Notamacropus eugenii: one gene and its partners. The protein of the gene in region 4 purifies or fractionates together with the protein of the main gene of each other region. This does not show direct contact. Links are inferred from orthologs where the notes say so. Each region holds a gene or a part of one and is shown on either strand. Other genes may lie near its edges.

Region 1 (7,603 bases), on a different chromosome or scaffold from region 4:
CTGCGGCACATCTGTCCAAGTGAGCCTCCTGCTGCCCTATGCCAAGCAGGCCGGCCCTGGGAAGATCCACCTGAGTGAGCCTCCCGGTGCCTGATGCCAAGTGGGCTGGCACATCCCTGTGAACGGTGGGCACTCCCAGGGCGAAGGAGAGTGCCCAAGCACAGGACCCCCGGGCACATTCGCCTGAGTAAGCCTCCCAGTGCCAAGTGGGTCAGCGGCGCCTCACGCCCCCACATACCTGTAGCACAGAGCGCCACGAAGGTCTGCGCGTGCTTGCGGATGATCTGCTTGTTCTCCTCCAGCGCAGGCATCTTGGACAGAAAGTGTTCGATGAAATCGTGGGGGGTCATAGCCGCCAGGTGCCACTTCAGCTTGTTGACCAGAAGCAGCTCCATGTGCTAGAAGGAGAGAGCACGGGTAGTGCAGGGAAGGGGGAGGGGATGCCCCAGTATGCCCCTGGGGATGGATGCCAGGATGGAAGTGGAGAGGGGGCTGCGCCTCCCCCACCCAAGGAAGGAGGCTTCCTAGGGACGGATGACCAGCGGTCACCACGGGAGGCGGGCGGGGGAAGGGGGGGTGCTGTTTCCAGGAGTTCAGACAAAAGGACCTCCCACCATCTGGAAGGAGAGGAGCCAGGCTCAGGAGCCGCGAGCACGCGGAGACACCGCTAGAGGGCAGCCGCTGCCCACTTTGTGGCCACGTTAGCTCGGTATAAACGTGGTGGCTGGAGGAGGGGAGGGGAAGGGAAGGGAAGGGAAGGGAAGGGAAGGGGGGGTGAGGCAGGGGCGCATCTTGGGGGAGGGCAGGGATAGGGCTGGAAGTAGGCAAAAGGGCTCGCGCTCTGTCTCTGCCCAGCCAGGGTTCTCTCCTTGGGGAATGATCACGGGCCCCATTCCTAACCCCCCCAACCCAGCAGAGAGGACACCCCCTCCCAAGGGCAGCTTGCAATTCTGGGGGCTGGCTGGTCAATGCAATTTGCAAGCTGTGACCTAGGTGGGCAGCAGGCTGGGCCAGGGTTAGGGGCATCCAGGTCTGCTGCCGAGGCCCAGGGGCACCCGACCACCCCCCTTTGCCCCCAGGAAGCTAGGGCACAGCAGGCATCATTACCAGCAGTTCCTCAGGCCGCACCGAGTGGTCCGTGTAGATGCACAGCTTCTCTGCCGTCAGGGGGATGGTCTCCTTCATCTTGGACGCCACGAACATGCAGGTGGCCCCCAGCAGCTGCAGCCGGCTCTTCTTCAGCGGCTCCAGGGACAGGAACCGGTCCAGATAGTTCATAGCCAGGGGGAAGACTTCCTCTTCGCATTTCTGCTCCTCACACACCTGGGGGTGGGAAGGGGGATGGAAGCAGGACGCCAGGGACCCCCAACCCTCCCCGCCCCCCAGAAACAGAAGGCCTGCGATCCCTGAGACACCATCCCCACCCAGCGGGACTGGAGGGGCCCGTGAGGAGGGGGCCGTGGAAAGTGCAGAAAGACCAATCAAGTCAAAGTTGCCCCCCCAAATAAAAACCCAAAACAAAAGCGAGGCCCGAGAAACTGAAAGGAAAAGTGGCCGACCAGAGGGCAAGGGAGCGGGAGGGGGGAGTGGGGGGGCACGGGTGGGGCGGGATGTGGGGGGGCTCCTCCGGGGTTCCTTCCCCTGTCCCCTGGGGGGTACCCTGGGCCCAGGCCACCCGAGGGGAGGGGGCGGCCGGCCTGGCGGCCCCGGGACCAGCGGCCGTGGCCCGAGACACAAAGGTGGCGGCGTCCCCACGCAGGCGGCGCGGCGGCCGCATTTCCCCAGACGTCATCTTTTCAAAAAATATTTAAAAATATTTAAAAAATCGCCCGGCACGTACAAAACCGCTGACAATGAGCCCCGGGCGAAGCGTGAGCGAACCCCGGTCTCAGGGACCGCGTAGGATCTGCTGGGGGCACGTGGGGAGCCCCGAAATGGGACGCCCCCCCCGTGCCCGCAGCGCGCGCGGCCGCCCGCCTCTCTGCCAGCCGGGGCAGCGGCCGCGCCTTCGGAAATTAATTAAAAATACTCAGAGGCCCGAGGGGGGCCGGCCGTGTGTCCGACAATGGGGGACAGGGTGCCCGGGGTCCACCCGCGCCCATCTCGAGCCCCCCCGGGGGCCCCAGCGCGCTCCGGCCCCGGGGCCCCGCGATCTGGCCCAGTGCGGCTGGCTGCGGCCGGGAGGCCAGGACCCCCCCTCCCACCTACCCACCCGAGGGCACAGTTCCCGGAGCGGCTGGCCCGGGCTGCCCCCGCGCCCCCTCCACGCGTGCCCCCTCCTCATTATTAATAAACACTTCTGCTTCGCTATAAATGCGCAAGATGGCGCGGAATACTGGCACGGGCAGCCCCTGCATACGTGTCCTTGGATATTAATTTAAAATAAAATCCCCCCCCTGCCCCCTCCCTCCCCCCCGGCCCCGGGCTCCCCGGCCAGCCGCCTGGCCATCCCAGCCCGGCGGCCCTCGGGCTGCCCTCCCGTGCGGTGCCGTGCCGGGCGGCCGGGTCCCTTCCTTCCCACGGCCCCGGCGGGGCGGGGGGCGCGCGGCGGAGCCCCACCAACCTCGAGCATCCAGGTGGCCACGATCTTGCGCATGTAAGGAAGGATGTCCTTCTGCACGCACTTGAAGTACGAGACGGAGGGCGAGCACGTCTCCTCGGCTTTGAGCATGGTCTGCAGCGCCCGATCGTTGAGAAGGTTGGCATCGAGGTACGCCCGGCGAATGGTCTCCACCTCGCAGCACAGCAGCTGGTGCTCCATGGCCGGCGGCGGCGGGCGGGCGGGCTGCTCCCGGTGCTCGGACGGACGGACGGACCGCTGGACGGACGGGCGGCGGGCTGGACGGCGGGAGCCCGCTGCTGCTCGGGCTGCGGCTGCGGCTTGCCTCGCGGTGCGGAGCGCGGGGGGCTCCGGGCCGGGCCGGCGGGGCTGGGGACTAGCCTCTCGGGGCCCGCCTCGCGGTGCGGAGCGCAAGGCTCGGACGTTGCGGGTGCCGCCGGGCTGCTCGGCCGCCGCCGCCGCCGCCGCCGCCGCCGCCACCGCCGCCGCCGCCGCTGCTACTGCTGCTCCAGCCTCTGGAGGCTCCAGGACTTTGCAGCTCGCCCGACTCCCCTCCCGTAAGTCCCAGTGACGTGACTGTTGTCGAGCAGAGATCAAAGCCCGGCAGAGAATGAGAAAGGGAGAGAGGGAAGCGGGGGGAGGGCCGGGGGCGGGGGGAGGCGAGGCGAGGGGGGCCGAGGGGCCGAGCCTTAAAGCCATCCAGCCCCTCGCCTGGGCCAGCCCAGCTCCCACAGAAGCCGGGCTCGAATAGAAATGCTAATCACTCCGGGACTAGCTTTCTTTGGGGGAAGTACGGAGAGGGGTGCGGGGGAGCCGGGAAGGAGGGGGTCCCCCGCGCTTTGTAAAGGGCAGCTCTTGGTCCTGAGTCGTGGGACAGACCCTGGTGGAGGCCAGGCCACCCGCAGCCAGACGGCCAGGCAGACACGTGAACTCTTAGCGAGCAGCCCCCCGCCCCAGCTAGCCGATGACCAAAGGGGCTAAAGGGGATCGGGAGGCGGGGGCAGGGGGCGAGGCCTTTTTCCCCCTTCGATTTCAAAAATCATTTTGATTCACTGCTGTAGACACTTGGGAAGCTTCTTAGAACGCCCGCATGTATGCGTGCCTGGGCACAAAAGGCCAGCAACTCCCTTGCAAGCGATCCTCCCCTGGAAAAGACAGCGTTTCAGCCCACACTTCCCGGCGTGGGACCCCCAGCTCTTCTGGCCCCCGAAGAGGGCCACAACAGTCCGGGACAACAAAATGGTGGTCAGCATTTCCTCTGGCCTGTCCTAGTACTAAGAGGAAGACTTTAGCCAGGGGAGGGAGGGAGGGAACTCCAGGCAAACCACCTTTCCCCCGGCCTCCTTCCACCTCTCTTCCCCTCCCCACTCAGGGGAATTCAGCAGCGAACCTCTGAATCCACAGGCAGGCGGCAAAATTCCGTCCTGCCTCCTTCTGGGGGAAAGAAACAGAAAAGAGATTGAGAGGGGAGAGGGGGAGGAGAGATCAATAAAAGAGAAAGAAAGGAGAGAGCGAGAAGAGAAAAGAAGAAAAAGAAAAGGGAATGAAAGGGAAGAGGGGAAAGAGGCTCAAGGTGGGCCCCCTCCGTCAGCGCGGGGTGGCCAGGGGGAGCGCACCCAGTTTGGCCAGGGGCACAGTCTTGGGAGGACTTTGGTGGGTTTCAAAGGGAGTGGACAAGAAATTAACAAAACGTGTTCAGCTCATCCGTGGCTCGCTCCATGTGCCTGACAGCGCCTCAGAAGGAGCTCAATAAGTGCGTGTTTCCTCCCTTGGTCTGCAGTGGACCGGCGCTCGGGCTTTCTCCAGCCCAGGGGCGTACACACGCCCCCCTCCAGTCTGGGCCCCTCTCCCACCTTCCTTCGAGATCCCGTTCATTTCACTGAGCCGGGCCGGGGCCCGCAGGCAGAGCCTGGGAAGGGTTCGGAGGGCTTGGAGCGCCTCGAGGGCCCTAGGGTGTTGGAACGCCACGCGTAGCCTCGAGCACGGGTGGGCTCCCCACCGGGCTCAGAGGCCTGGGGAGGAGGCCACGGTTCGGCGGCGTGGAGCCGGCCACCCCGCGCCGCCCACGCCGGGGCCCGACGTCAGCGCCGCCACTCTTTCATTCATAAAATCGCGGCCGTGGGACTGCCCCGCTAAACTGTAGGGCCCCAGGCGGGCTGCGACAGACCCCCGAGCCCCACCGCGACGTGGGCGCCCCCGGAGTTAGCCCCCGGCCACCCAACCGGCTCCGAGGCCGATTCCTGGAGGGAGCTTTCCCCCCTCGCTGGGTGGAAACCCCAGAGGAAGCTGGAATTAGCATTAGCCAATAGGAGACAAGATGTGTTACCAGGCGGATCAGGCAGATCTCAACGAGGAACTAACAGGCTGCATGGCCCGGACCCAGGGACCGGCGCTAAAGTGCACGGTGCGCGGAAAAACGTGAAGACCCGGGCCGCAAGGCCGAGCTCCCCTGGGCCGTCTAGGCTCTGTGGTCCGGTGCGGCCCTTCTTGGGGGGCGACAAGGAGAAGCCGGGGCTGGGAAGCGCTGAGTACACCCAGCCAGTTCCTTGACACCCCGCGTGGGCCGACCTCCCAAAGCACCCGGGGCTGGGAAGTGGAGTGGGGGGATGAGAAGAAGAGGATTGCAGAGACCCCCGAATACCGAGAATTAGTCTATATTTTTTATTTTCTCCGTTTCATACTGCGCTGGCCCTTTCCAATTCGACCCGACGGGGATGTCCTGCACTACAAGTAGTGGGGGGGATAAGGAGAGGCTCCCGGGAGACAATGAACTGACGACCCAGACGGGAGGGGAAACCTCGTTTACTGACCAGAAAGAGCATAATTAAAACGATCTTCCCATCCGACCCCAACTCTGACTCGAGAGTTAATTCAGGCGGATTCTTGTGTGTCTGACTTCGCTGGGTTGTACAGGATCAAGGAAACGATGGGATGGGCCAGCAGGTAGCGAAATGGGGACATTCCGGGGACCACCCCGCGGGAGGCTGGGGGTGCGGGTGTCCCCCGGGCCAGACGCTTTTCCCCCAACTCCAGGTCCATTTGGGTTAGACAGGAAGCCTTCCAAAGACCCGCCGCTCCCCACGTGGGTGGGGGGTGTGGGCTCACCTGCGGGCGTGTACCTGACGGCGACTTTAAAGGCTTTGCTTTCCCACCCCTACCCATCCCAGGTCCATAGCTGAGTTTTCCTGAAGAATGCCTCAGGGAGCGGGTGTGGCCCTCACCGCCCACCACCCTCCCGTCGACTCGCAGTTTCGGGGACCTATCCCGCAAGTCCCCGGTCCCCAAGGTTGTGTGCGGGATCGGGCTCGCTGGGAGCACATGGTGGCGTCCGTCTCTTCTGCCAACATAGCTGGGGTCAAAAGAGGGGGCCTGGGGACCCCCATTCGTCTTCCCCTCCCCAGTCGGGCACGATAAGCTGCTATTAGAGGGGGGCCTCCTGCAGCCCCTCCCTGCCCTCCCCGCTGGGACGGGAGGGGCCTCATAAAACCGACCCGGAGTAAGAACTCATAGCCTCCCTCCTCCGGGCGAGGGCCCGTGGGTGCCCAGGGTCACCGGGAGGGATGGAGGAGGTGGTGCTGGGGGGGCAGCCCAGAGTGCGCCCCCCCATAACCTCGCACAGCCGTTTGTGTCACTCCGTCCCTCCCCGTCCCCGACGGCGGCCTGGGCGAAGGCAGCGCCCCTGCCGCTGCCCCCGTCCCCGCCTCGGCGGGGCCTGCCGGGTCCTGCCCTTGATCTCCGGGGCATTGTTCTGCAGCCAGAGCCTTCGCATCCTTTACCTAGGAATTTGAGAGGGGGCGGGGGCGGGGACTCGGGGAGGGGGCGTCGCTGCGAGTCATGCAAATCTCAGCTTAAGGAAGTTCCAGGGGAGGGAGCGACAACCCACCCCCCATCGCGCGTGGGCAGGGCTGGGACTCGGGGGCTGGCGGCTGCCCGCGTGGGAGCGGGCCGCGGCTAGGCCCGGCCAGTCCAGGCTCGGCCCGGCCCGGCCCCGGGAGCGGCGAGCGCGCGCGGCTATCGCTTTAATTGAGGCTCGGGCTCCGCTCATTAAGAGGCAGCGCGGCGCATTCCGGGCATTCCAGCCGGTGCCTCCGCTCCCCAGGCCACGTGGTGCCCTTATCACCGCCGCCTACCGTAATGCCTGCAAGAGGCGCGCCCTGGCCCAGCGGGGACGCGACGGGACCGGCCCGAACGCCTCCCTCTCTGGGAGTGGCCGTCGGGGCTCCTCTCGGCTCCGCGCAGCCCCGAGCCCCCGGAGGTTGCACCAAGGCCGTAGTAATGACACCTCTGTTAACCCCCGACGGGAGTGTTCTGGAGCGGTTCTAGGCTTGCAAAGTGCCTTTCCCATCCCTGGACCGCGGAGCCTCCAGGCTCAGGCAGGTGGATGTGAAGCGACGTCCCTGGGGTCGAGCAGCTGCTGAAGTGTCCCAGGCCGGGGCTCCTGGACCTCGAGCCCGCACCCCGAACACGGTTCCCATCGCCATCGCACCAGAGAGTGCCAAACGCCTCCTTCGGTTCGTAGAGAGACCCCAGCAGGGAGGCCCCCCTAAGCATCCTCGACGCCTCGCCCCTGAGCAGCCGGGGAGGCTGGACCGCAGCCTCGGCCGGAGCTCCTCCTCCGGCCCATTTTCCCAAGCAGGTTTTTAACTCTTTGCAGGAAGTGCTTACCCAAAGCAAACCTAAATAAAGGCGAGGCTCGGTGGACTTTGAAATCCGGAGTCTCTCTAGGACTTCGACTTAATTCAGCCGATCGTTTACAGTCCTACTGTGTGCGCCAGGGCGGAAAGCACAGCGTCTGGATTTCTCCACGGTCCTGGACCATGGAAAAGTGCACGGATGATCTTTGTTACAATGAATTGAATAAATACAAACATTTCTAGATACAAAAAGAAGAAAGACCCCGTCCTCACATACTTCATTGTACCAAGGTCAAAGCAGCCCCATTCTTGACCCTTCTCTGGAAGTTTCCGAATTTAAAGGAGGGGATGGGGATGGATGGGGAGGGGAGAACAGGGATGTTGAACTTCTGTCGTGTTTCCAGCAACA
Region 2 (7,608 bases), on a different chromosome or scaffold from region 4:
AAGGAGAAAAGGGAGACATCAGAGTCCATATAGAGGCATGAGGCCCTGTGTGACAGATAAGGAAACCAGGGAAGTGACTTGGAGAGGGATAAGTAGATAAGTGGTGGAAGTTAGATTAGAACCCAGCTCCTAACCACAAATCTAACCACAAATCTAGGACTCTCTCCTCTACACTCTGATGCCTCTGTGCCACTCCCCACCACTATCAGTCCCCTGGGAATGCAGCTCCTTTTCCAGTTCAATAAGGGAAGGCAGGAAACCCATATGGCATGGACTCAGATGGGCACGAGGTAGGTCTGCAGATCATTTTTGGGATCTCCTCTCCCTGACTTACCCAGGAGAGCCAACTTAGCAGGGCACCTTATCACAGCCCACAGTGGGGGTTTGCCATATGATTTGGAGACCTTCTACGACCTCTATCCAAAAAACCACTGCAGTCTCATCTCCCTCCCCAACACACACACAGACACACACACACACACACACAGCCACACACACACTACAGCCAATCGGAATCGCTGGCTGCTGAAGAAGGGCCTAGATTTCAGGAAGTTTTCCCAACATGACTGGTGCATCTGCTGTAATTCCCTTTTCTCAACACTCCCCAGGGCCAAGACTTTTTTTAATTTTTCAGACAGGTTTTGTTTGGGGTTCGCCTCCTCCTTCTTCCAGACTACACAATCCAGTAGCCTCATCAATATCCCAGATATCCTTGGGGAAGTCCCTTGGAAAGGCCCTAGGACTCTGACTTGACCACAAAACATGTCCTAGGAATCCCAGGCCAAACCCAATCTGTACAGTTCACTGTCCCAGGTACAGAGGCCAGCTCTCCTAACTCCCCCTTTTCCCACATTAGTTCCTCTTAGGTAGGACCACCAACCTCCAGGGGTCTCAGTGCTATCAGGACCAGATACTAAGGCCAAACCCAGGGCCTGGTGTCTGGCTTCCAACAGCAGAGAGAGCTTTCTTTGGTCTCAACCCAAGGGAACCCAACCAGGTTCTACAGGTTCATAGAGAAAATGGAGGGAGGGAAGGGGGATGAGAGGGGCAGGGCAGCTGAGGTGCAGAGGGAGGGAGACTACTTGCCACAAGCAGCTCAACTGCTCCCTCTTGCCTCATTCAGCCCTTCCCCCAGCCACCCAGGCACCACACCACAGAGGCCAAGGACCAGCTCAGTCACCCGTTCCCTTCCCCTCCCCCAGGGGGCCTAGGGGAGCTGAACAAGTTCACTGAGCATTTAGACACTATGGCAACAAGCCCCTTGAAAATATGAAGGCAGGTGGAGAGGACCAACAGATGGAGGGGGCGGTGGGAGGGAGAACATCAGCTGCCACTCCAGGCTGTACCCTCATTCCCTAATGGGGGAGAGGCAGAACCCATTCCCGCCTTGCCGAGGCCTCACACAAACAGCCCACTTCAATTTTGGTCCATTTCTGGGGGCAAAGAGAGCAGAGCCGGGAAAGGCAGCGCCCACACCTGGGCACCTTTCGAGTACCCAGGGGCACTCAGCAGATGTTACAGGGGCACTGGGTGGGCAGCTGCAAGCATAGGACCCCACAGCATTCTTTCTCATCCTCCTCTTGAATCAACTATGATCTGCCCCCCCCTCCCCCCCGCCCCAAACACACACACACTCCAGCCCTGGCAAAGAGCACTCCTGTTCTACAGCGTGTAGCCACTCCTACTGACACAAACCCACCACCTCATTTTACTGCCACCGGTGATGTGGTTAATAAAACAGGACTTTGAACAGACTCAAATACTGACACCCAGGGTCCATCCTCAATCTCAGCTCTGCCCCAGGCCAAGGGCTGCCCTTCGGCAGCCAGAGTCGGGTCTCTCCACTGAGTGGAGGGGGTTGGGAGTATCTAAAGGCCAGAGCCCACCGTCCAGTGGGAGGAGAAAGCCAGCTTCCACCGCCGCCCCCCTCCTATCCAGACCCGGCCTCGGAGCACTAGGCCACGTTCTCTGAGAGGGCAAAGGTACAGAGAGTCCCCAGCGCTGTGAGGCGGCCACAGCTCAGCTCCACCCCGGAGGCAGGCGCATTGCAAGGGGGCTCCCTCTGGCGCAAACCCATCCATCTGGTACAGCCGATTAGACTCCCCTCCAGCCGTGCCCCCGCCCGCAGAGCCGCCCTCCTGGCCGTGGGATCAGCCCTGGAAAGCTGCCCAGGGCCCCTGGCGCTCGGGTCCCGCCGTGGAGATGCATGCTCACAGAGATGCCCGGGGCCGAGGCCCGCCCATGGTGCTGGGAGGGCGGGGAGTGGAGTAGTTACCGGAGGCCGGCCCAGGGCAGGCCTGGGTCCGCTGGCTCCGGGCCGGGGCGCCTGGGGCGTAGCGAACAGCAGCAACTCGGCCTCTCGGGGCCCCTCGGCGGTGACGGGGACAGCGGCGGCGCTGAGCGGGCCTTCGTCCTGGGTGGAGATGATGACGATCTGCTGCTCCAGCAGCTGCAGCCCCCCAGCCCCCAGCAGGGCCTCTAGCTCCGCCACGCACGTGCCGCCGCCGCCGCCGCTGCCGTCCAGGGCCATGGCGGCTCCGCTGGCTCGCTCGCTCCCCCGGGCACCGGCTCACATCCCAGGGACAGGGACTGGCCGGCGGGCCGGGAGGGCTGGGGCGGGGCGCGGCCCGAGGCTGGGCGGGCTTCCGCGGTCGCCTCTCGGGGCACTATCCGCTGCCGGGGGTCTCGGCACTAGAGCCTGCTCCGGATCCCAGATCCATAGTCTCCGGCTCGGCCTGGCCTGCCCGGCGAGGGCTCAGGGCCCCGGACCGGGGCTGGGGCGCGAGCTGCCGGAGGCTCCGAGAGGGCCCTGGCCCATGCGCGGTCCTGGACTCCGGGGTTCAGTAGTGATGGGATCCGTACAGACGGATGGAGCCGAGGCGGGAGACTGGAGGACAGAGCAATGCCCGGGACCGGAGCCGGGGCTGGGAGCTTGTTTTGGTCTCTCCAGCTGATCCCCGCAAAGTCCCGGACACTTTTACGCGCCAAATCCTTTTTGCCGCGAAAGGGGCACGAGCCGGGTAGCGGCGCTCCCATTGGCTGGCAGCTCCGAGATTGATACAGAGAAGCGCCGGCGCCGAGCCCTGCTATTGGTTACGGCGCGCCGGCCCCGGCCTGCGTGTCCAAGGGGGGCGGTCAGCACGTCACTCTCAGCCAATCACCGCCAGGAAAATGCGCAGGCTTTGTCCGGGAGGCGCGCCGCCGGGAAGGAACGGACTCGGAAGCTCTGGTCCTGCCCAGTTCGGCCCTGCCCAACCCCGCCCCGCCCCGTTCCAGCTGGTGATGGAACCCTCCCACAAGACCCCTTAAGTCCAGATATCCCCTACACCTCTCCTTCAGTTCCGAGAAGCCCACCCCTGCCAGGTACGCTTCCGAGATTCCCCTCACCCCCGCCTTCCCAGACCAACTCCCCAAGCGTTGCAAAGCGTCTGCCCTGCCGAGCCAGCACTTATGAAGCGCTTCCTATATGTCAGTCAGGGGCAGCGAGGCAGTGCCCTGGAGAGATCGCGGGGCCTGAAGTCGGAGAGATCTGAGTTTCTATAAGAACACCTCTTAGCTGTGTGACCCTGGGGAAGTTGCTTTGTCGCTCAGTCGTGACCCCGTAATGGGCTTCTCCTGGCAAAGATACTGGAATGGTTTGCCATTTTTACGGAGGAGAAAATGAGGCAAACGGGGTTTGCCCACGGTCACGTAGCTAGTGTCTGAGGCTTGAATTGAGGGGTCTTCTAGACTTAAGGCTGACCACCCCAGCCGCCCCTGTGTTTGCCTCAGTTCCCCATCTGTAAAATAAGGACACACTGGAGAAGGAAATGGCAAACGATTCCGGTACTTTGCCAAGAAAACCCCATGGTTTTTCCCATGTCATGGGCTCACAGTAGAGTCGCACTCAGCTAACTAACAACATGTGCCAGACATTGAACTAAGTGCTGGGGGTACAAAGAAAGGCAGAAACCGAGTTTACCTTCTGATGGAGGAGACTACAGGCAAAGAACTGTATATACAAGATATATACTGTGCAAACATAGGAAAGGTACTTGGAGGAAGTGAGAAGTAGGAGGACTAGGAAAAGCCTCCTGCAGAAGGTCGGATTTGAGCCTCCTCTTAAAAAGGGGCCAGGGATGGCAGGAGGCAGCAGAGAGGAGGGAGACAATCCAGTCATGGGGCACAGCCATCGAAAACACAAGGACTGCAGAGATTCATATGAACTCTGGAGGAGTTTCTCCCCTAGACCTTTCAGTTCAGAGATACTGACAATTAAACTCAAAGACAGCCCCCCCCCCCCCCCCCCCCCCCGGCTTGTCATCTGAGAGACACCCTCCCAATTCCCCAAACCCAGGTCCTCAGTCCAGGAACACCCTCCTCCAAACACCCACAGAACCCTTAGCCCAGAGAGATTCCCCCAGAAAAAGTTCAAACTTGGGGACTCAAAGACTCCCTCATACCAGAAACCAGAATCACAGACCATCCCCAAACCCTGAAACATCCTACACGTGGACCCCCTAACACATAATCTCTACTTCTACAGATACACCACTACCACAGAGACCTGTCTCACAGACATAGATCCCCTTTGACCTGAGAGACAACTTTCCCCTCCCCCCCATTCAACCTAGAGGCTTTCAATTCTCTGCATTCCTTTTTTCCCTTTTAAAGATTAAGATATTAAGACAAATTAACATATTTCCTATGTAGGCCTAGAATGGATTTTCCCCTGCTTCTGGGAGATCCTTCCTCCTTTCAGTCTCCCTTGTCATCTCAAATTGACAGGGATTGGGGAAACTGAACACACCAATTAACTTGGACTGGACTAGCCCTGGGAAGAAACCAGGTTTTTTTGGAATCTTAAAAGTATTATGGGAGTCCTCAGGCCCAGATTCTCTGTAGCTGCTTGCAAACACCTGGTTTTGGATTAGCAACCTACGTACCTGATTTCCAAGGAGATCATTACTGAGAGATGGGAGAGTCTCAGAGAAGGTCTGGGTTTGGGTGTGTATGGTCCACCCCTCTACCCCACCCCCACCCAACCCCTACAGCAAAAAACCTTTGCAACCTACCAAGCTGCCCAGATCTACCCTCTGGACTGGACAGTTCCCTCATTTTAGAAGTGAAGGGAAAGGGGAATAAACATTGTGTACAATCCAGGCACTTTTACAAATATTCTTTCATTTTATTCTCACAACAACCCTGGGAAGGAGGTGCTATTATTATCCCCATTTTGAGGAAATTGAGGCAAACAGAGGTTAAGTGACTTGTCTAGAGTCACACAGCTAGTATATTCGTGAGGTCAGATTTCAACTCAGGTCTTTCTGACTCCAGTCCCTGTTCTCTATCCACTGCAGCACCAACTGCCTGTCATTTTAGAGGTGACTCGGCAACATCTGTCTAGTTGGGAAACAGGCACTCAAGAATAGTGAAGGCAGGTCTGTAAGCCCAAGGAGCAGGAAAAGCAAGAAAGACAGAGGGATTGTATCAGACCTAAACTTTTGTATTTCACCCAATACAGGGCAGACACATAACAGATGTTGAATGGATGGATGGATGGATGAATGAATAAATGAATGAATGAATGATGAATGAATGAATGAATGAATGTCATGAAGCAGATGTAGCAATAGCAAGATTCTTTCTTGAAGAAGGCAGCACTGGGTCAAGAACAAGCAGTGTGGATCAGTAGTAAGAAGGAAATGATCCTTCTAGGAGTCAGAGAGGGAGATTAGGGTAGGGTCCCCTCTGGGTTCCCTCCCACAATTCACCCAGGGCCAGGCTGGTAGAGTACCCCAGCAGGAGGTGAGAGTTTTTATAATTCCAGTTCACAACCTGGATTCCCTGGGAACCCATTATTATAGAAACCAGAAAGTCACCATTCCCCTAAGACAGGTGGGGGTCTTATGACTGAGAACAAAGAGGAAGTCTTCACTCTAAGGCAACCTAGTAGTCTCCGCAGGCCTTTTCATATTCGTTGGAGCTATCCGAGCCTTAGACCTCTTTCCCGGAATGTATTGTTTCCTTTTTCACTGAAAGTGCTGCTTTAATCTCAGTCAGTCAGTCCAAAACACATTTATTTAGAGCCTACTATGTGCATGGTCCCATACTTGGCCCAGGAGATACAAAGAAAGGCAAAAGATTAATCCCTGCTCTCTACAAGTTCTCGGTCTAGTGGGGGGTACATGAAAACAACCACGTGCAAACAATAAGTATGTAAGATAAATAGGGGATAATCAAGGTAGAGAAGTCATCAGCATTAAGGGGAATGAGGAAGGTTTCCTTGAAGAAGATGGGATTTTAGCTGGGACTTCACCTCTTCAGACTTCAGAAAGGGCACACCCCTATACTGGTACCATTTCCATTCCTTGGTTTGGTATTGCCTGTGGCCTTGGGGTTGACCCTTCCCTCAATTCTAGGGCAGCCTATGAACAGGCTGATCTGCCACATAAATTGCTGCAGACTTCCAGGATGAAAATAAATAGTTCTTTCCTCTGGGCCACATGCCACGGATGTCCTGTCCCCAGCCTCAAGGAGAAGAGCAGACTGGAAAAGAAACAAGCTAAACTGGAATCCTTTGAGTGAGAAGGGACAGTTTCTTTACAGATAAAGAAAAAGAGGTCCAGAAAGTAGATGGGACTGGCCCAAGGCAGCACATAAGCTCAGCGGCAGATAGAAGCTTAAACACTATCTGTTAATATCTACTTGAAAGATGTCATACCCAGAAGCCTTAGCCCTTTTGAGCGCTCTTGTTCTAGGGCTCCTAGCCTGAGAGCTGCTGATAAGATTTCCTGTTGGTGTCAATAATCATACTCATGCTTGAGTTTGCATGAACCGACCCTTGGGCTGGAGATGCTTGTCATCACCTCAGACTCAGACTGACAGAGTTTGAGCCACACAAGGCAATCCTAAAGCTGCCTTTTTTTTTCATCGTACAGTATTAATTATTGAAACCTGAGGCCAACCCAAAGCAAAACCTGAAGTGGGCAAAGTTGGTCTTTCTCTGTTCCTCCTCTGCTTTCCCTATGTATTCAGGTGCCTCCTGGGTGCACCCAGAGCCTGGATCCGGACCAATATGCAGTCCTGGTTACCACACCAGGCTTTCTGGCCCAACTCCAGGCACCTGTTCCAACTTAGAGAGAGCCCTGTCTCATCTCTAGCCCTGACATCTGGACAACTCTAGTAAGAAGGCACAGAACCTAAGAGGAAAAAAACGTCCTATATTGCCTAGTCCTGTCTGATATTTGATTCCTAAATCTTGCTTCCTGGGTCTGCTGTTAGAAGTTTAATTTCCAGTATTAAGTCTGGCCTCACTAATAGAATGTAAGCCCCTTGAAGGCAGGAATTGTTTCCATTTTGGCTTTTGTATATCCAATGCCAAAAAAAATAGAAAATGAGGATCACACAGAGGTGCATGGTGGATAGCTGTGAACAAGCTGTGACAGGACTGTCCTGGCACTAGCTCTAATCAGAGCCCATTGTTAAATTTTTAGTGGGAGTATGTATACTTTAGAAATGTGACTGCTACAAATCTGGACTTGATTTGTTGATTGTCTAGACTTAAGAAAATGTTAATAATGCAGATTTGTAATACAGAGTAATGAAGTTAATAATGCAGAAATGTAT
Region 3 (7,721 bases), on a different chromosome or scaffold from region 4:
AAAAGGTCTCACATGTACAAAAATATTTATAGCAGTTCTTTGTGGTGGCCAAGAACTGGAAATTGAAGGAATGTCCATCAATTGGGGAATGACTGAACAAGTTGTGGTATATGAATGTAATGGAACACTATTGTGCTATAAGAAATGATGAACAGGACTTCTAAAAAGCCTGGAAAGACTTATATGAACTGATACTGAGTGAAATAAGCAGAACCAGGAGAACACTATATACAGTAACAGCCAAAGTGTGGAAGGACTGTTTCTGATAGACTTAGCCCTTCACAGAAATGCAAGGACCTAAAACATTCCCAAAGGACTGTTGAGGCAAAAATGCCATTCATATCCAAAGAACTATGGAACTGAAATGCAGAATGAAGCAGGCTATTTTCTCTTGTGTTATGTTTTGGTTTGGTTTTTCTCATGATTTCTCTCATTCATTTTAATTCTTCTATGCAATATGACTAATGTGAAAATGTTTAAGAATGTATGTGTAGAACCCATATAAGATTGCATGCTCTCTCAGGGAGGGAGGGAGGAAGGGGAGAGAGAAAGGGGAGAGGGGGAGAAAAATTTAAGACTTATGGAAGTGATTGTTGAAAACTGAAAACAAATTAATTTTTTAAAAATTTAAAAAATGATATTTGTTTCCTAATTATTTCACATGTGCTTATTTGGCCTCTCCACTTATATTTCAACCGACTGAAAGCAAGGACAAAAAATGAATGTCTAAGGTAAGAGATGACCTCAAATTTTAGACTTCAAATCCAGCACTTTAGGGCTGATCTTGGGAATCAAGAAGACCACCTAAGCACATAATTTCAGGGTGACCAAGGGCCAGCCTTCAGGCAACTGTTTAAAATTAAGTTACAGTAGAATTGCTCAGAAAGGGGTGGAGGTTGGGGAGAAATTTCAACTTCGATAAAAATCACAAATCCTCATTTAAAAAAAAAGTCAATAGGAAAAACTAAAGTGAAACAGCAGCTCTCACACTGAAACTGGAAGATACCATATTTCACTCATTTACACAGTGAATAATATTCCAAACTTCCTCCTCACTTGGCCAGCCAGGAAGAAACTCAAACGTAATTATGATGGCACTGTGATAAGGCCAAGAAATGACCAACTCAATCACATGCTTTTCCTGAGTCAGTTATCAGGGCTGTTTTTTTTTAAAATCAATACCTATAGGAATATTATCAGTTCCATTTTTATCCCTAAGAAGAAAAATTCAATACTTTGCAAAGATGGGGGATGAGGGGACGCTCTTAAATAATTTAAGACTTTAGGTCTCGTACAAGATAATGAGACAAAAAGAAAAGTAGAGACGTTGGCAAGTTCAGTAAGTATTTGTTGAGGCGGGGATAATTTCCAAAGGGAAAAGGGATTCCTACACACAGAAAACCCAACATAAAGGTTAACTTCATCAAAACCCGAGCGCGAACTTTCCCCGCTCCCGCCCTCAATCCAAGGGCTGATCACTTTCCTAGGTCATCGATTCCCCACCCACCCCCTGGGGCTGGGCACCGGAACAGCAGGAACAGCAGCCGTTCCCCTCCCCCACAGGCCGCTTACCTTGGCCCAAGATTCGGCCTCGCTCCAGGTGTGGCCGGGACACCTCGAAGGTGTAACTTTCGGAGGCAAAGCCCGGACGGCAAAGCCCCGTGTCCTCGCAACGCCATAACGACGCCTAAGGGGGGAAAAGGGGAGGTTTGGGGTGACTGGGAGCTGGAGGGGGTTGCCTTCCTCCCCCGCACCGAAACCTGCCAGCCTCGCCCCAGTGGGGGTTGGGGGTGAAGACGGCCTGGTCCCGGGCCTTAGCCGCTCCCTCCCCACCAGAAATCCGTACAGCCGGCTGCTCCCAGGGGACTCGGAGAGTTTTGCTGAGGGGCGAGAAGCGGACCAGAGTCAGCTGTGTCCAGCCCAGACGGGTCAAACTTCCCAAATCAAAGCGACATTTCCCCTCCCTCGCAACCCGATCCCATCCAGCCAGAATCCCTGGGTCACCCTCCCCTCTATCCATCTGCCCTCCTCCAAACTCACACGCTCCCCAACTCTCACTTTTACAGGAGATTCCCACCCCGAGAAATGCCCCTTTCAGTCACAGATCCCATTAACCCTAAACACACTAGAGATCCGCCCCCCCCATACACCAGCTCTCCCCAGGCTCATCTCTCCCCCCTGCCCAGATCCACCACTTACAGTGTGACTTCAGGGCCAGCTCAGATTTCTCTCCTAAAACTTTGGGTACAATGTACCAAGCCCCCCCCCACACACATACACACACGCACAGACCCCAGAGAAAAGGAGAAGGGTGGCGACCGAGGGAGGTGCCGGATCGGCGCTAGGATCCCCTAAGCCGTGCGTTTCCCCACTTGCCCCCTCGCGGGGCAGTGCGCCAGCTCGTGGGCTAGAATACCCCTCGAAAGCAAACCAGTTCCCGAGGAGAGTCCCGAGTGCTGGAGTAAGTTCGGTCACCCATGGTGGGGGGGTGGGGTAGGAAAGGAGCACAGGAGGCGAGGGAAGCTTAGGGGAAGTGAAGGGAGGAATCAGAGGAAGGGATGGGTGTAAGGAGGGCTCCTCTGGGCTGTGAGAGGCCGGGGGCAGCCGAAGTTCTCTCCAGGGCAAGGATCAGCGTCTCCCCACATCTTTCTTTCATCCACCCGGAAAGTGCCCCATCCCCCTCTTGCTCCGGGGCTTTACCTGCAGCAGCAGCAGCAGGAGAGAGGTGAGGCTGAGACACCAATTCCGCCTAGTGCCCATGATGGGGGCGCCGGGGGTGCGGCCGCAGCTGGGGCAGGAACGCGGCAGGGGCTGGGGCCCGAGCGGCGCAGCTCGTCGGAGGCGCAGGTGGACCAAAGGTTTTCCAGTCACTTCCAGGGGCCAATACTGCGGCTCCAAGCCAGCGGCCAGCCAGGTGAGCCCCGAGGGACCCGCCCCGCGGAGCTGCTGATTGGCGCGCACGCACACCTGCGCCGGGAGGAGCCAATGAGACAGTCTGGATGGCCTAGCCCAGCCCAGGCAGCTCTCTTTCCCTTCCCTGCCCTGAAGTTCTCAGGCTGTCTACCCACCCCGGGCAACTGATCACTCCCTTTTCTAGCCCTCGGAGCGGTGACTTCTCATGTCTAAGTCAGAAGTTGAACTTCCGATCTTTCACCGCTGCTTGTGGTCGTCTGCATCTTGGAGAGCCCGGACAGTCCACAGCCGGACACCGAGCGGTACACATTCTAAAGAGTGGCATCGGTGGGAGAGCGGCTGCGAGTAGGAGAGAATCTCATTGCAAGATTCACTGAGAATGTCTTCTCCCTAAGTCCCATATTGTCTGGTAAAAACTGGGAGTGGGGGTGGGAAGATTCCAATACGCGGTGAGGGCTCTGAGTCGGGGAATCTCCTTATGAAGTAACTCATAGGCATCTGAACCTTTTGGGAAATGTCTTTTGATCATCTTTTATAGTGTGGTAGATTCCCACAGGTGAAAATGGTCCGCACAATCCAACCCCTCCTGAAGTAGGAATCCTCGCTTCAGCGTCCCTGGAAAAAGGTTAAAGGGTCAGAACGTATCACTAATTCCCAGACCCCTTCCTTCCCCCCTCCCCAACTTTCTTGCTTCTTGCCTGGGGATGGTCTTCAACTTTTCTGCATGTGAGGATTCTTTTTAAGTACAAAAACATTTCCAGAGCAGCGGTGACTGTAGTTGTACTATTAAACAAAAAACTTTCTAAGCGTTCATAACAACTTAAAAGTTACTAGTAAAATATAAATGTATTCAAAACCTTTGCAACAAAGTTTACATAATTCCAAAAAGTTGCATATTATTAGTTGGACTTACATAAAAAATCCAAATGACAATGATTGCTAGGCAGATGACATACTAGTCAAGTGCATTATTTGGAGTCTAGCCAACCACTATTACACATTTATTATGTACTGTGCACTTCCGTAAGAGCTGGAAAAAGATTGAGAGCTAAGGTCCTGGGACTACAACAAGGGAATGCAAATAGAAGCAAAAAAGAAAGTCTGCCCTCAAGGAGCTTACTTTTTAAAGGAAGAAAGACTCACCTAAAAGAAAGCTAAAAGCTGTTGGGAGGGGAAAAGAAAGAAGGAGCCTATTGAGAAGGAACCATGGAGAAAGATGTGAAGAATCAGTCATGTCAGAGGAATGAAAGAGCATTATGGCTGACCTGAATTCTTCCTTAAAATAAAGGTTTCAGGAGAAACTAACCAAAGAGAAGAAGGGAGAAGAAGGAATCTCCCAAGTTGAGAAGGCAGCAAAGTACAGGGCATCTCCCAGGGTGAGATGGCATCAGGGTACAGCCACCTTCCACAGTAAGAAGGATGCTTTTGAGCATGGTGACTTCCCAAGCTAAGAAGACTTGGAACATGGTCAAGAAAGTTCTCAGAGTTAGGAGAAGAACTGGAGAGATTGGTGTTAAATAAAAATTAAAATGTCCATAGGGGTGGGAGAATATAGATTTCCCTATCCCTTGAAAAAACCCTTGCTATTTGTCATCCATCATAAACTGGGAATCACTGACCTAGAAGATTATTAAGCCCACTTCCAGTAATGAATCCTAAGACCATCTTCTAAACCTGGAAGGAACTTGATATCAGGTAATTTATACTCAAGTGTGAATCATGTCACAAATTCAGAGTTGGAAGGGACAGCTCCAGCTGCCTTCCCAGTGTTCCAACCTCCTCCCCTAGATTTGTCCTGGACACTCCATTTGGGCAGATGTCAGAAGTAAGGTCAGTTTTCTTGTCAGTAATTCATATTTTACTTTTACTTTAAAACAAAATTCAAGGTATTTTCCTACACCAAAGCAATGCCATTCTTATCAATTGCACTTAGAAGATGTGGCATATTTTACTTGTGGGTCTGTGTAGTGTAGACTTCACACAGGGTAATCATAAAAGATATTCTCATTTCAATACTTTTATCAGCTACCACTTTATTTTACAATTACCTTCCAATGGCATGCTTGCATTTTCAGGTTGCTCCTTTGGGATTGAAGCCTTGAAAGAGGAAACAGGAACAAATAGAGGAAGTTAAATATGGGGCAAACACCTAAAATAATGTCCAGAATGCCAAGCCCTCAATCAACAGGCATTTATTAAGCACCTACTGTGCACCAGGCATTGAAGTAGGGGCTAGAAATAAAAATATAATGAATCAAAAACTTAAGTTATATAGGAGATGACAAGTAGATAAATGGATAGATAGATAGCTAGATAGTAAATGGATGGGTAGATAGGTATATGTATGAATATACACATACATATTATATATCTGGATATAAAGACAGTTTCAGCTTAAACTTAAAACTGCACTGAGATTTTTGGAATACCCTGTATTTAACTATTTTGCATTTATTTTATTTATATATATATCTATATTATATATGCATATATCTATACACATAAGCTTTATTAAAGCTTTAAAGTTGCACTGAGACTTTTGGGACATCCTATACAGGGATTTTGAGGGGAAGGGCACTATAGGATAGGGAGAGTGGGTCAGAAAAGGTTTCACATAGAAGATGATGCTTGAACTTCTATGAGTTGGAAATGAAGAGAAGAGCGTTCCAAGCATGGGGGTAGGCAGGTCAGTGGAAAGATACCAAGTATGTTAGGGAAAAGCCAGTTTGATTGGATCACAGAGTATGGCAAGAGGAGAAACATTCATTGAGGCTGAAAAGATAGAATTGGGGTAAGGTAGGGAGAGCTTTAAAAAACAAAACAAGTTTCTGTTTATCCTGGAGATATTTATCCTGGAGGCTAAGGGTAGTGGATAGTATAGTGGATAGAGGACTGGTTTTGAAGTCAGGAAAGAATTCTTTTCATGAGTTCAAATCTGACCTCAGACACTTACTAGCTGTATGACCCTGAGCAAGTCATTTAACCCTGTTTACCTCAGTTTCCTCATCTGTAAAATGAGCTGGAGAAGGAAATAGCAAACCATTCTAGTATCTCTGCCAAGAAAACCTCAAATGGGGTCACAGAGAGTCAGATACAATTGAACGATAACAAAGACTACAAGGGCTGATGGACCATTGGCCAGAGCACGTTGTTTCCCTTTAACATGTGTGTTCCACAAAACATGGCAAAATAGAAAGGGAACTTGGTTTCCTGTCTTGCTTTGGCTCTAGGATCTTTAGTGAGTCACTCCTTCTTAAGGCTTCCATTTCCTCATTTGTAAAAAGAGGGAGCTGGATTTCCATGGTCACCTCCAGCTCCCAGAATCCTGGGAATGAAGCTGTCCCAAGAGGGGCTAATCTCATTATTTAAGGAACAAGCCACAAAATGAGAAAAGGGGAAATGTGATTAACCAGGGATAGTTCTATGACAGGAATAACTGACATCTATGTAGGACTTTGAGGTAACAACAAAAATAAATGTAATTTAGAAAGATAGACAGGGAAACTACATTTTGCTAGAAGATAGAATAGACAATGAATTAATATCAACACTAAATATATGCCTCAAGTATCACAATATCCAAATTCTTAAAGGAAAATTAAATGAATTGTTGGGAGAAATAAGCAGTAAGAGTATAATAGCGAAGACCTCAGTTTATTCTGCTTAAACCTATATAAATCTAACCAAAAAAAAGAAAGGAAAAAAAATGAAGGGGCTGAGTAGAGTTTTAGAAAAGACCTCTGGAGACAATCAAAAAGTAATAGCAACTTTTTTTCTCCGTTCTGCATGGTACCTTCACAAAAAACTGATCCTATATTAAGGCATATGAACCTCACAAATAAATATAGAAAAGCAAAAACATTAAGTACATCTTTTATGGACCAAAATGCAATAAAATTATATTTAATTAAGAAATAAATTGTGTGCTTTCTACAAAATCTCTAGGGGAGAAAAGCCTTCCTATGTGAATTTCTTTTTTTATTTAAGAACTTATAAAGAAAAAAGCTGACTGCAAACCGAGTTAAAATTGTTTACCAGCTCTCCCGTTCCTCCAAACCCCATTCCCTCCTTATTAATGGATTTCAGATCATGTGCTGAGGTCATTTGGGTTTATACATTTTAGCAGTAGCTACCACCAGGATAGATCAGTGGAAAGAAGATACAGTACATTTCCTTTCTCGCCAAGGCTCCTGCATTAAACAGGATAATGGAAATGATGAGAGAAACTTTTCCCCCCAGAGGCTAACTGGTCAGTTTATTTTTTTCCAGTTATATAAAAATATGTACTTTATATGATGTCTACTCACTAAGCCATCAATTCTTTCCTTTGCTCCTCCTCGAAAGCCTTCTAGTTCTAATTCCTTTGTGACTTACATGCACTCTTTCCTGTACACTGATAATTCAATAAAAAGGATTTTAAAAAACAATTAGATATGAATTCTGGCAGCTTGTACTCAATGTTCTCTTTCAAAGACCTGACTGCATAACTTCTTTTTTACATGTCAAGGAATCTGTCAGCTTAGGAGAGAAAATAACAATAGAGATCGCAACAACAGTAATAAATAATAGCTAGCACTCATATAGCGCTTTAAAGTCAGCTGAGCACAAAAACTCTGGGAGCTAAGTGCTATTATTAGACTTATTTTTACAGATGAAGAAACTGAGGCTGAGGGAAGTGTGTCTTGCCCAGGGTCACACCGCCTGAGTAAGCGGCTAAGACCAAATTTGAATTCAGGACTTTCTGACTCCAATTCTGGGGCTCCATCCACTACATCACCTAAGTGTGGAGGAGATGACCCAAAGACACC
Region 4 (7,722 bases):
GTCAGATTTATGGAGGATGAAGAAATTTATGACCAAACAAGAGACAGAGAACATTATGAAGTGCAAAATGGATAATTTTGATTACATTAAATTGAAAAGTTTTTGCACAAACTCAATGCAACCAAGATTAGGAGGGAAGCAGAAAACTGGGAAAGAATTTTTCAAGTAGTGTCTGTGATAAAGACCTCATTTCTAAAATACATAGAAAACTGAGTCAAATTTATAAGAATACAAGCCATTGTCAATTGATAAATGGTCAAAGGATATGAAGAGGCTGTTTTCAGAGGAAGAGATTAAAGCTATCCGTAGTCATATGAAAAAATATTCTAAATCACTAGTGATTAGAGAGATGCAAATCAAAACAACTCTGAGGTACCACATCATACTTATCAGAGTGGCTAACATGACAAAACAGGAGTATGATAATGTTGGAGAAGATGTGGGAGAGTTGGAACACTAATTCATTGTTGGTGGAACTGTGAGCTGATCCAGCCATTCTGGAGAGCAATCTGGAACTATGCCCAAAGGGCTACAAAAATGTGCATACCCTTTTACCCAGCCATATCACTTCTAGGACTGTATCCCCAAGAGATCATAAAAATGGGAAAGGGTCCCACATGTACCAAAATATTTATAGCAGCTCTCTTTGTGGTGGTCAAGAACTGGAAATCGAAGGGATGCCCATTAATTGGGGAATGGCTGAACAAGCTGTGATATATGAAAGTAATGGAACACTATTGTGCTAAAAGAAATGATGAACAGAAAGACTTCAGAGAGGCCTGGAAGGACTTATATGAACTGATGCTGAGTGAAAGGAACAGAACCAGGAGAACTTTGTACACTGTAACAACCACAGCGCAGGAGGACTTTTTCTGGTAGACTTAGACAACCACAGCAACGCAAGGACCTGAAACATTCCCAATGGACTCTTGAGGCAAAATGCCTTCCACATCCAGAGAAGGCTATGGAACAGGACTGCAGAATGAAGCAGAATATTTTCTCTTGGGTTATGTTTTGTTTTTTCTCATGGTTTCTCTCATTCATTTTAACTCTTCTATGCAACATGACTAAGGTGAAAACGCATTAAATAAGAATGTATGTATAGAACCCACATGAGATTGTGTGCCATCTTGGGGAGGGAGGGGGGAAGAAAGGGTAAAGAAGGAGAAGAAAATCTAAGACTTATGGAAGTGATTGTAGAAAACTGAAAACATAAATGAATTTAAAAAAAGAAATGAGTCTATTATTTTGATATTGCACCTCACTGCTTTCCTCTCTTCCCCTCGGGATAATCTAAATTGTTTGTAAGGTCAGTAGCCTTTGAAACCAGACTTAGGCTGCCTCTGTTCCAGAACTTCATGGACAGAACAAACTTTTTAACTCCTCCCCCTACTTCTCAGGTAAGGTCATCACTTAATCTAATACTTACTTAGCCTTTTGCCACAGGGGAGTAAGCCTTTTGTTGTATTTCTGTCTTTTTAGTATGCTTAACTCTCCCTGACTCCATTTATTCAAACCATTTAGGGTTTTCTTGGCAAAGACTGAAGTGGTTTGCCATCTTCTCCAGCTCATTTTACAGATAAGGAAACTGAGACAACCAGGGTTAAGTGACTTGCCCAAGGTCACACAACTAGTAAGTGGCTGAGGCTGGGTCTGAACTCAGGAAGAGTTTCTGACTCCCTGTCTGGCACTCTAACCTAGGAGTAAGCCTAAGGTCCTTAATTGCCCATCTAGGATTCAGTGCTTATCCAATACCAAGTGTAGAGACTGTAGAAAAAAGGCCCATGCATAAGTACAGGGCAGTACTGCACAGTATAAACCAAAGCACAAACCTGCAAGATCTTCACCTTACAAACTCTTCCCCATGATTTATGTATTCACTTCTGCATGTCACAAATCTAGTGAAAAGGTTGGAATGTACCTAGATATATCTTCAAGCAGATCATGACCAGAAGGTAAAAATTTTAAATGTTCCTGGACAAGACTGAAGGCATTGGCTAATCTATATTTTTTGTTGGGAACAATAATTAAATCAGTTTAGAAAACAAAGGGTGAGGAACATCCCTGTACCAATATAACTGTCTTAAGTACTGAGACTAGCCAAAAGTCACAAATCCAGTATGTGTTAAGATGAGGGACACCAGATCCTGATAGCTCTGTCCCCCATATACCATTTCATAATTCAATGGACTCTCCAAACTGAGATCTGCAAATATAATACATCTGGAAACACTATTGGATTTAGAGTCTGAAGACCAGGATTCAAGTCCTGATTCTGACATATACTTACCTGTCTTGCCCTAAGACCTTATTCTTACCAACTTTCTCATCTGTGGAAAGAGGGGGTTGAACTCCACGGGCCCCTTTCCATCTCCGAACCTATGATCTGGTGCTTAGCGGTCATCCCTAAAAGTTTTCTACTAACTCCTGGAAGTGTTGCAGTACAACAAGCAAACTTCAGGCTTTCAGACTTACCTGAACTATTCTCTTTGGATTGCCTGGGCCTGCGGGCAATTACAAAGTCCTTTTCCCTGGCTTTCACCTTCTGCTTCTTGGGCGGAGGGGCTGGCGTGAGGAGCAGCTCCTGGGGGATGTTTTCAGTGTCCACCTTTTCCTTCTCCAGAACTGCAACCCCCATGCCTGAGAGCAGATCCGAGGTCTTGTGGAGGTCCCAGCCCCACGTGAAGGTGAAATTAACATTGCTGTTTGTATCGGGAATCTCCTGGAGGTGTTTCCTGCAGGAAATTGACAAGCTTTCCATCAATGAGCATCCCCCCCACGAAGCGTCCGAGCCAAACCAACCCGGGCTGGCACAGGCAGCGAACGCACAGGGGAGTCTCAGCCGTCCGGGTGGCTGCTAAGTGGTGAGCTGGGGTACATGTGCATTTATCTAAAAAGCCTAGAAGGGGAGGGGGAGACGGGGGAGAGGAGGAAAAAACACGAACCCCCACGCCCGGCCGGGGAGGCTGGAGAGAAGCTCCCAGAGCCACGAGGCCAGAGCCTCCATTGGCCAACTTACCGTGCCCCTAAGCGCCTAAGCGGGGAAGGCTAAACAGCGCAGGTCCAGGGGAGAGGCACAGCATCCACATTTTCCTTCTCCTCCATACCTCCGCTGTGCACCCCCGCAAATAGGTCTGGTTACCTGTGCATGATGGACTTGCCGGGGCAGACTAGGGGATTTAAGTCCTCGCATGAATGGCTCAGCCCCGGATCTCCAGGCTTCCCGCGTCCACGAGCCGCAGCCGCACCTCCACGCCCCGCAGGCAGAGCCGGACCCAGCAGGGCAGCGTCCCATTCAACCCGCGCGCGGAACCTTTTCCCTCTCTCGGTAGGCGGCCCCGGACAGGCGCGCTGCCTGCTGGGATTTGTAGTCTCCTTCCTCCTGCCAAATCGTCGGTCTGCGGCCGTCTCTTCAGCCCACTCTTCGTATTCTCGCGCGCCCCTTCTCACTTCTCCTCCCACTCCGGCCCCGCCTACGATAACCCAGAAGCCCCTGCGGGGCGGGACGCCAGCGAGGCCTGGGGAGAGCGGTGACGTAGGCACGAGGAAGCGGAAGGGAAGGAGGGGGCCGGCGGAGAAATGTCACCGGCCTGAAGGCAGCCGGTGTTCCTGCGCTGCCTGGCGCCCTGCTCCGCGCTCACCCCGAGACGGCGGAGGCGCCGGCGGGTCCTCGCGGCCCCTCTGCCCGTTGGCCCACGGAGCCCCCCGGCGGGACGGTGAGATCGGGGCTCCGGGAACGCGCCGTGGGGGACGGCCGAGGCGGGGATGGCGACCCCGAGGGCCCGCCGCGCCTGCTGAGGGGGGCGCAGTCGTCCGGGTGAGTCGGGGGCAGCGGCCGGCGAGGGGCGGCTCCCCGGGATCCCGAGTCTGTCCTGGGAAGCATCACCACACTGCGGCCGGGGGTGGGGGTAGGCGTGGAAAGGAACGGGGGGGGTCGCCTGCCCCCTCCCCCGGGTCGTCACCCCGTAAGGTGCGGGTCCTAGGGCCCAGACGTGGAGGACATCCCCCCCGGGATGACGGAACCACTTCCGGGCCCCGGGCAGGACGGGCACCTGCGGCTCCGGGCGGGCCTCCCGGGGGGGGGGGCGGGGAGGACGCTTTCTGCTCCGCTGTTAGGCCCCCCCCGCCTAATGCCGCAGTCCCTGAGCAGCCTCCGGGTCCTGCTTCGGGTCCTGCCCCGGCTTTGCTCGGAACCGTGGAAAGATGACGTATCTGTGGGCACAATTAAGCCTCCTTCCCGCCGGATGTGAGTGGTTATTGATCTCAGTGGTCAGCTTCTTTGTGGATGGACGCACGGACGGACGGAGGCTGGGATGGATGGGGAGGGGGGTGCGTTCTCCCCTTTCCTTTCAGGGAATTCCTGATCCCGGAGGTTAGGGTGCCTGTGAGTCTGAAAATAAAAGGAGGCTTTGGGGAAACAAAAGGGTGATTGCTAAGCGGTAGCGACGATCGATACCTCTTGAATTGGCTGTCTTTATTTCAAACTACGTCAGCTTGAGGCTTCCTCTGCGTAGTTCACTAAACTGAGGTGGTTCTTGTAAGCGGATGATCTTTATTTTCCCAGCCATTTTTAGCTTCGTTATCGTGACATTATCGTGGCGGGGACGCGCCCTCGCCTCTTCTGTCAGTCCGGAAGGTTCGACAGTTCTTCCATCTCTCCTCTGGGGAAGAAGACATTCAAAAGAGCGTTTCAGTGCAAATAATTATGTTTTTATCCAAAAGAGTACGTCTAGGTCAAAGAGGACGTGTGCCCAAGCTACGTGCAAACCCTTTTGTCTTTACCCCTTTCCTTTGCACAGATCGTTGATAATTAACTAGTGACTACGGTTAGAAAACCTGGAGATACGGGAAGGGTTCCATAAAGACTGGCTGTCTGTCTGCGATATCCGTCTGCAGGCTAGGCTTTCTCTTGACTCATACCCTCTCTGGAATGTGGCGTCTTTGGTGTCGCTTAGTGTAAGGTCTGAAGTTCCAGTTTGTGAATTAGGAACATCTCTCATTCAGCCCTCACTTCAAAGGTGTGCAGGCTACGGGTGGGTGGACTGTGCAGGACCTCTTGTTGAACCTCCTGAGTGGAGCTCTAGAGAGCCCAGTCCTGCCCTGGAGGAACAGGTGTCCGCAGACTGCAGCCTCCTCAGCGTGCTTCATGGGGGTTAGTTTATTATTCATCATATTCAGTCCTGACCCATCATCTTAACTCCCTTCAGTTTATCTAAATTATTGAGAGTGTTAGCCTAAAACCAGCTTTTGTCCATTTTAAACTTGGAGTCATCCAGCCCATCAGCTTCAGTTAGATGTTTTCCACAAGCTTTGATTGCACCTGGCTTAGATTTAGCATTTCCTGAGTAATACAGACCCTTGATGAATTTTAGGTTTTTTTGTATTAAGGCTCACTTCCTTAACACCTCGTTTTGCATTTACACAAAGATATGATTCTTATTCCATGACCAGGATTATTGTAAAGAGATTTATTAGTGATCTAGGTAAGTGAGTTAATAATGGGCTTATTGTATTTGATGCCATTGAGCAGGGATTTGCCAACACTTTGGAAGCTTGAAATAGAATTCACAGTGATGGTAAAGGAGACCTGTCTCTATTGGACTAAATCCTACTGGGATGTGTAAGGTACTTGGTGGCAAAAACAGATACAGGGGGCGAATGGCAGAGCACGGACGTAACAGAATAAGAACAAGGAATCACAGCTGACTACAAGTGGAATTAGTTATAGGAATAAGGATAGTGTAATAGTATCAAAAAATCAAATATGCTAAGAATTCATTTTTATAGAAATAATGGCACTGAAGCCAGGCTGAAATTGTGGGAATAGTAGATGGAGAAAGCTGGCCTCAGTCAGGGAAACTTGGTTTGGTGCTGACATATTACCGACTGACCCTGGAACAGTCACTTTATCTCCAGTGCCTCAGGCATCTGCTTTGGTGGTGAAAGTTTACAGTTGAGAACTTGAGTTCTCTATGCCACTGAAATCACAGATCTCAACCACACTTATACTTGCCGCCTCAGCTGTAATGATTATCACCTACATTAAATAAGAACTGGGATGTAATCCTTTTAAGTTCTCTTTGGCTCTTAAACAAACAAAGAGGTAAAGGTATTAGGGATATTTGTTTACCTTGTGGATAAATGGGCAAGGTCCATGGTGTATAGTCAGAAATTTTAGGTACCTAAGTAGAATATTCCAGAAAGCGTCTCTTACTTTGTTAAATATAAAACATTCTCAAAGTAGGTATGACTTCCTTGGTTGATATTTGTAATGATAAAGGATAAAATAACTATGTGCCTTAAAGGCATATTTAATTAAAACTGACTCCTTGTCTTCCTACTTTACCCTCACATAATGTCCACCATAAGCAGTTAATCTTCAACTAATTCAGAAAGTTTAGTATTTCTTGAAAGTTTAATACTACGCTTTACGCTGCTCTGAATTTTTTTTCTCTTTACAACATTCTAGCATCTACTCTACCCTTTGTCATAGTTACTCTGGTTCTGCCTTTTGAGACTTCTTTAGTTTCTGGATCCTAAACATTGTAGGAGTTTCTCAAGGAGTTGATAGATGAAATAAATAGGGGTTATCTAATGTTTATCTTGAAGTATATGAAGAGTGTTCAAGGTGAAGATTACAGATCAATTTTTTTTATCACAAAGGATTGAACAAGAGAAATGAACTTAAATTCAAGAGAGAATTCTTGGAATTTATTTTTGTTACTAAATGTCATTTTTTTCTTTATTAATCTCTCCCATTCCCTTTATCTAAATCATGGATCAGGGTAAGAAAAAAACTAACCAAATAAAGCCCTCATTACAACAGCTGTAGGCTTATGAAACAAACTCCTACTTTGTGTCTGAAAATGCATGTCTTATGTATTTTAATTTATCACCACATTGTCAAGAGGTATCATGTTCCATCATTTTTTGGACTTGTGTTGGTCAGACTTCTAAAGTTTTCCAAATTTGTTTTACTCTACAATTTTGATATTGGGGAAAGTCGTTTTCCTAGTTCTCTTTGCTCTACATCATTTCATAGAGGTCTTTCTCGAACTGTCCCATTTTTTAAGTTTCTTTTGGCAAAGTAATGTTCTGTTACTTTTGTACACTGTGGCTTGGTTAGCCATTCCCTAATGAGAGGATACTCTTTTAGTTTCCAGTTTGGGGTTCTCATGAAAAGAATTGCTCTAAATATTTTTGTACAAATAAATCCTTTTCCTCTTTTTCTGATTTCATTGGAATATGGTCCTAGTAATGATATAGCTAGTTAAACAGGAATGAGCATTTTCATAGTTTGGGGGACATAGTTTAAAATTACTTTCCAGAATAGCTGTCCCAATTCAAAGTTCCACCAACGATGCACTAGTGTACCTGTTTTTCCCACAGCCCCTCCAACATTTGTTATTTTCTTCTTTTGTCACCTGCCAGTTTGATGGACTGTCTTGAAACTTGAAGTTGCTTTAATTTGCATTTCTCTACTTATTATTAATATAGAACTTTTTTTTCCCATAAAGTTGGTGATATCTTGTAAGTTCTCTTTCGAAAACTGCCAATGTGTGTCCTTTGGCCATTTATCTATTGAGGAATCGTTCTTATTATAAATTTTAATCACTTCTTGTATATCTTGTTTGTGAGACTTAGAAATCATTACTGTTATTAATTTGGAGCTTTGATTTTAATGAGATAGGAAATTTCATCTATCAGTACAGATCAACAGCA

The links.
Region 1: the proteins of SKP2 (region 4) and CCND1 purify together in Homo sapiens (affinity purification with western blotting; 3 studies listed by BioGRID, with this or other methods). This does not show direct contact. The link is inferred for Notamacropus eugenii from reciprocal best matches to the Homo sapiens genes SKP2 and CCND1.
Region 2: the proteins of SKP2 (region 4) and E2F1 purify together in Homo sapiens (affinity purification with western blotting; 6 studies listed by BioGRID). This does not show direct contact. The link is inferred for Notamacropus eugenii from reciprocal best matches to the Homo sapiens genes SKP2 and E2F1.
Region 3: the proteins of SKP2 (region 4) and cadherin-1-like purify together in Homo sapiens (affinity purification with western blotting; 3 studies listed by BioGRID and IntAct, with this or other methods). This does not show direct contact. The link is inferred for Notamacropus eugenii from reciprocal best matches to the Homo sapiens genes SKP2 and CDH1.

The regions. Positions count from the first base shown.
Region 1 is NC_092873.1:21,909,325-21,916,927, reverse strand, and holds the start of CCND1 (G1/S-specific cyclin-D1), read right to left. Parts: upstream 3,016-7,603; 5' UTR 2,762-3,015; coding exon 2,564-2,761; intron 1,324-2,563; coding exon 1,108-1,323; intron 399-1,107; coding exon 239-398; intron 1-238. UniProt on the Homo sapiens protein: Regulatory component of the cyclin D1-CDK4 (DC) complex that phosphorylates and inhibits members of the retinoblastoma (RB) protein family including RB1 and regulates the cell-cycle during G(1)/S transition.
Region 2 is NC_092872.1:417,786,160-417,793,767, forward strand, and holds the start of E2F1 (transcription factor E2F1), read right to left. Parts: upstream 3,005-7,608; 5' UTR 2,531-3,004; coding exon 2,276-2,530; intron 1-2,275. UniProt on the Homo sapiens protein: Transcription activator that binds DNA cooperatively with DP proteins through the E2 recognition site, 5'-TTTC[CG]CGC-3' found in the promoter region of a number of genes whose products are involved in cell cycle regulation or in DNA replication.
Region 3 is NC_092872.1:708,185,834-708,193,554, reverse strand, and holds the start of cadherin-1-like, read right to left. Parts: upstream 3,005-7,721; 5' UTR 2,761-3,004; coding exon 2,701-2,760; intron 1,688-2,700; coding exon 1,573-1,687; intron 1-1,572.
Region 4 is NC_092875.1:424,995,222-425,002,943, forward strand, and holds the start of SKP2 (S-phase kinase-associated protein 2), read right to left. Parts: upstream 3,013-7,722; 5' UTR 2,762-3,012; coding exon 2,476-2,761; intron 1-2,475. UniProt on the Homo sapiens protein: Substrate recognition component of a SCF (SKP1-CUL1-F-box protein) E3 ubiquitin-protein ligase complex which mediates the ubiquitination and subsequent proteasomal degradation of target proteins involved in cell cycle progression, signal transduction and transcription.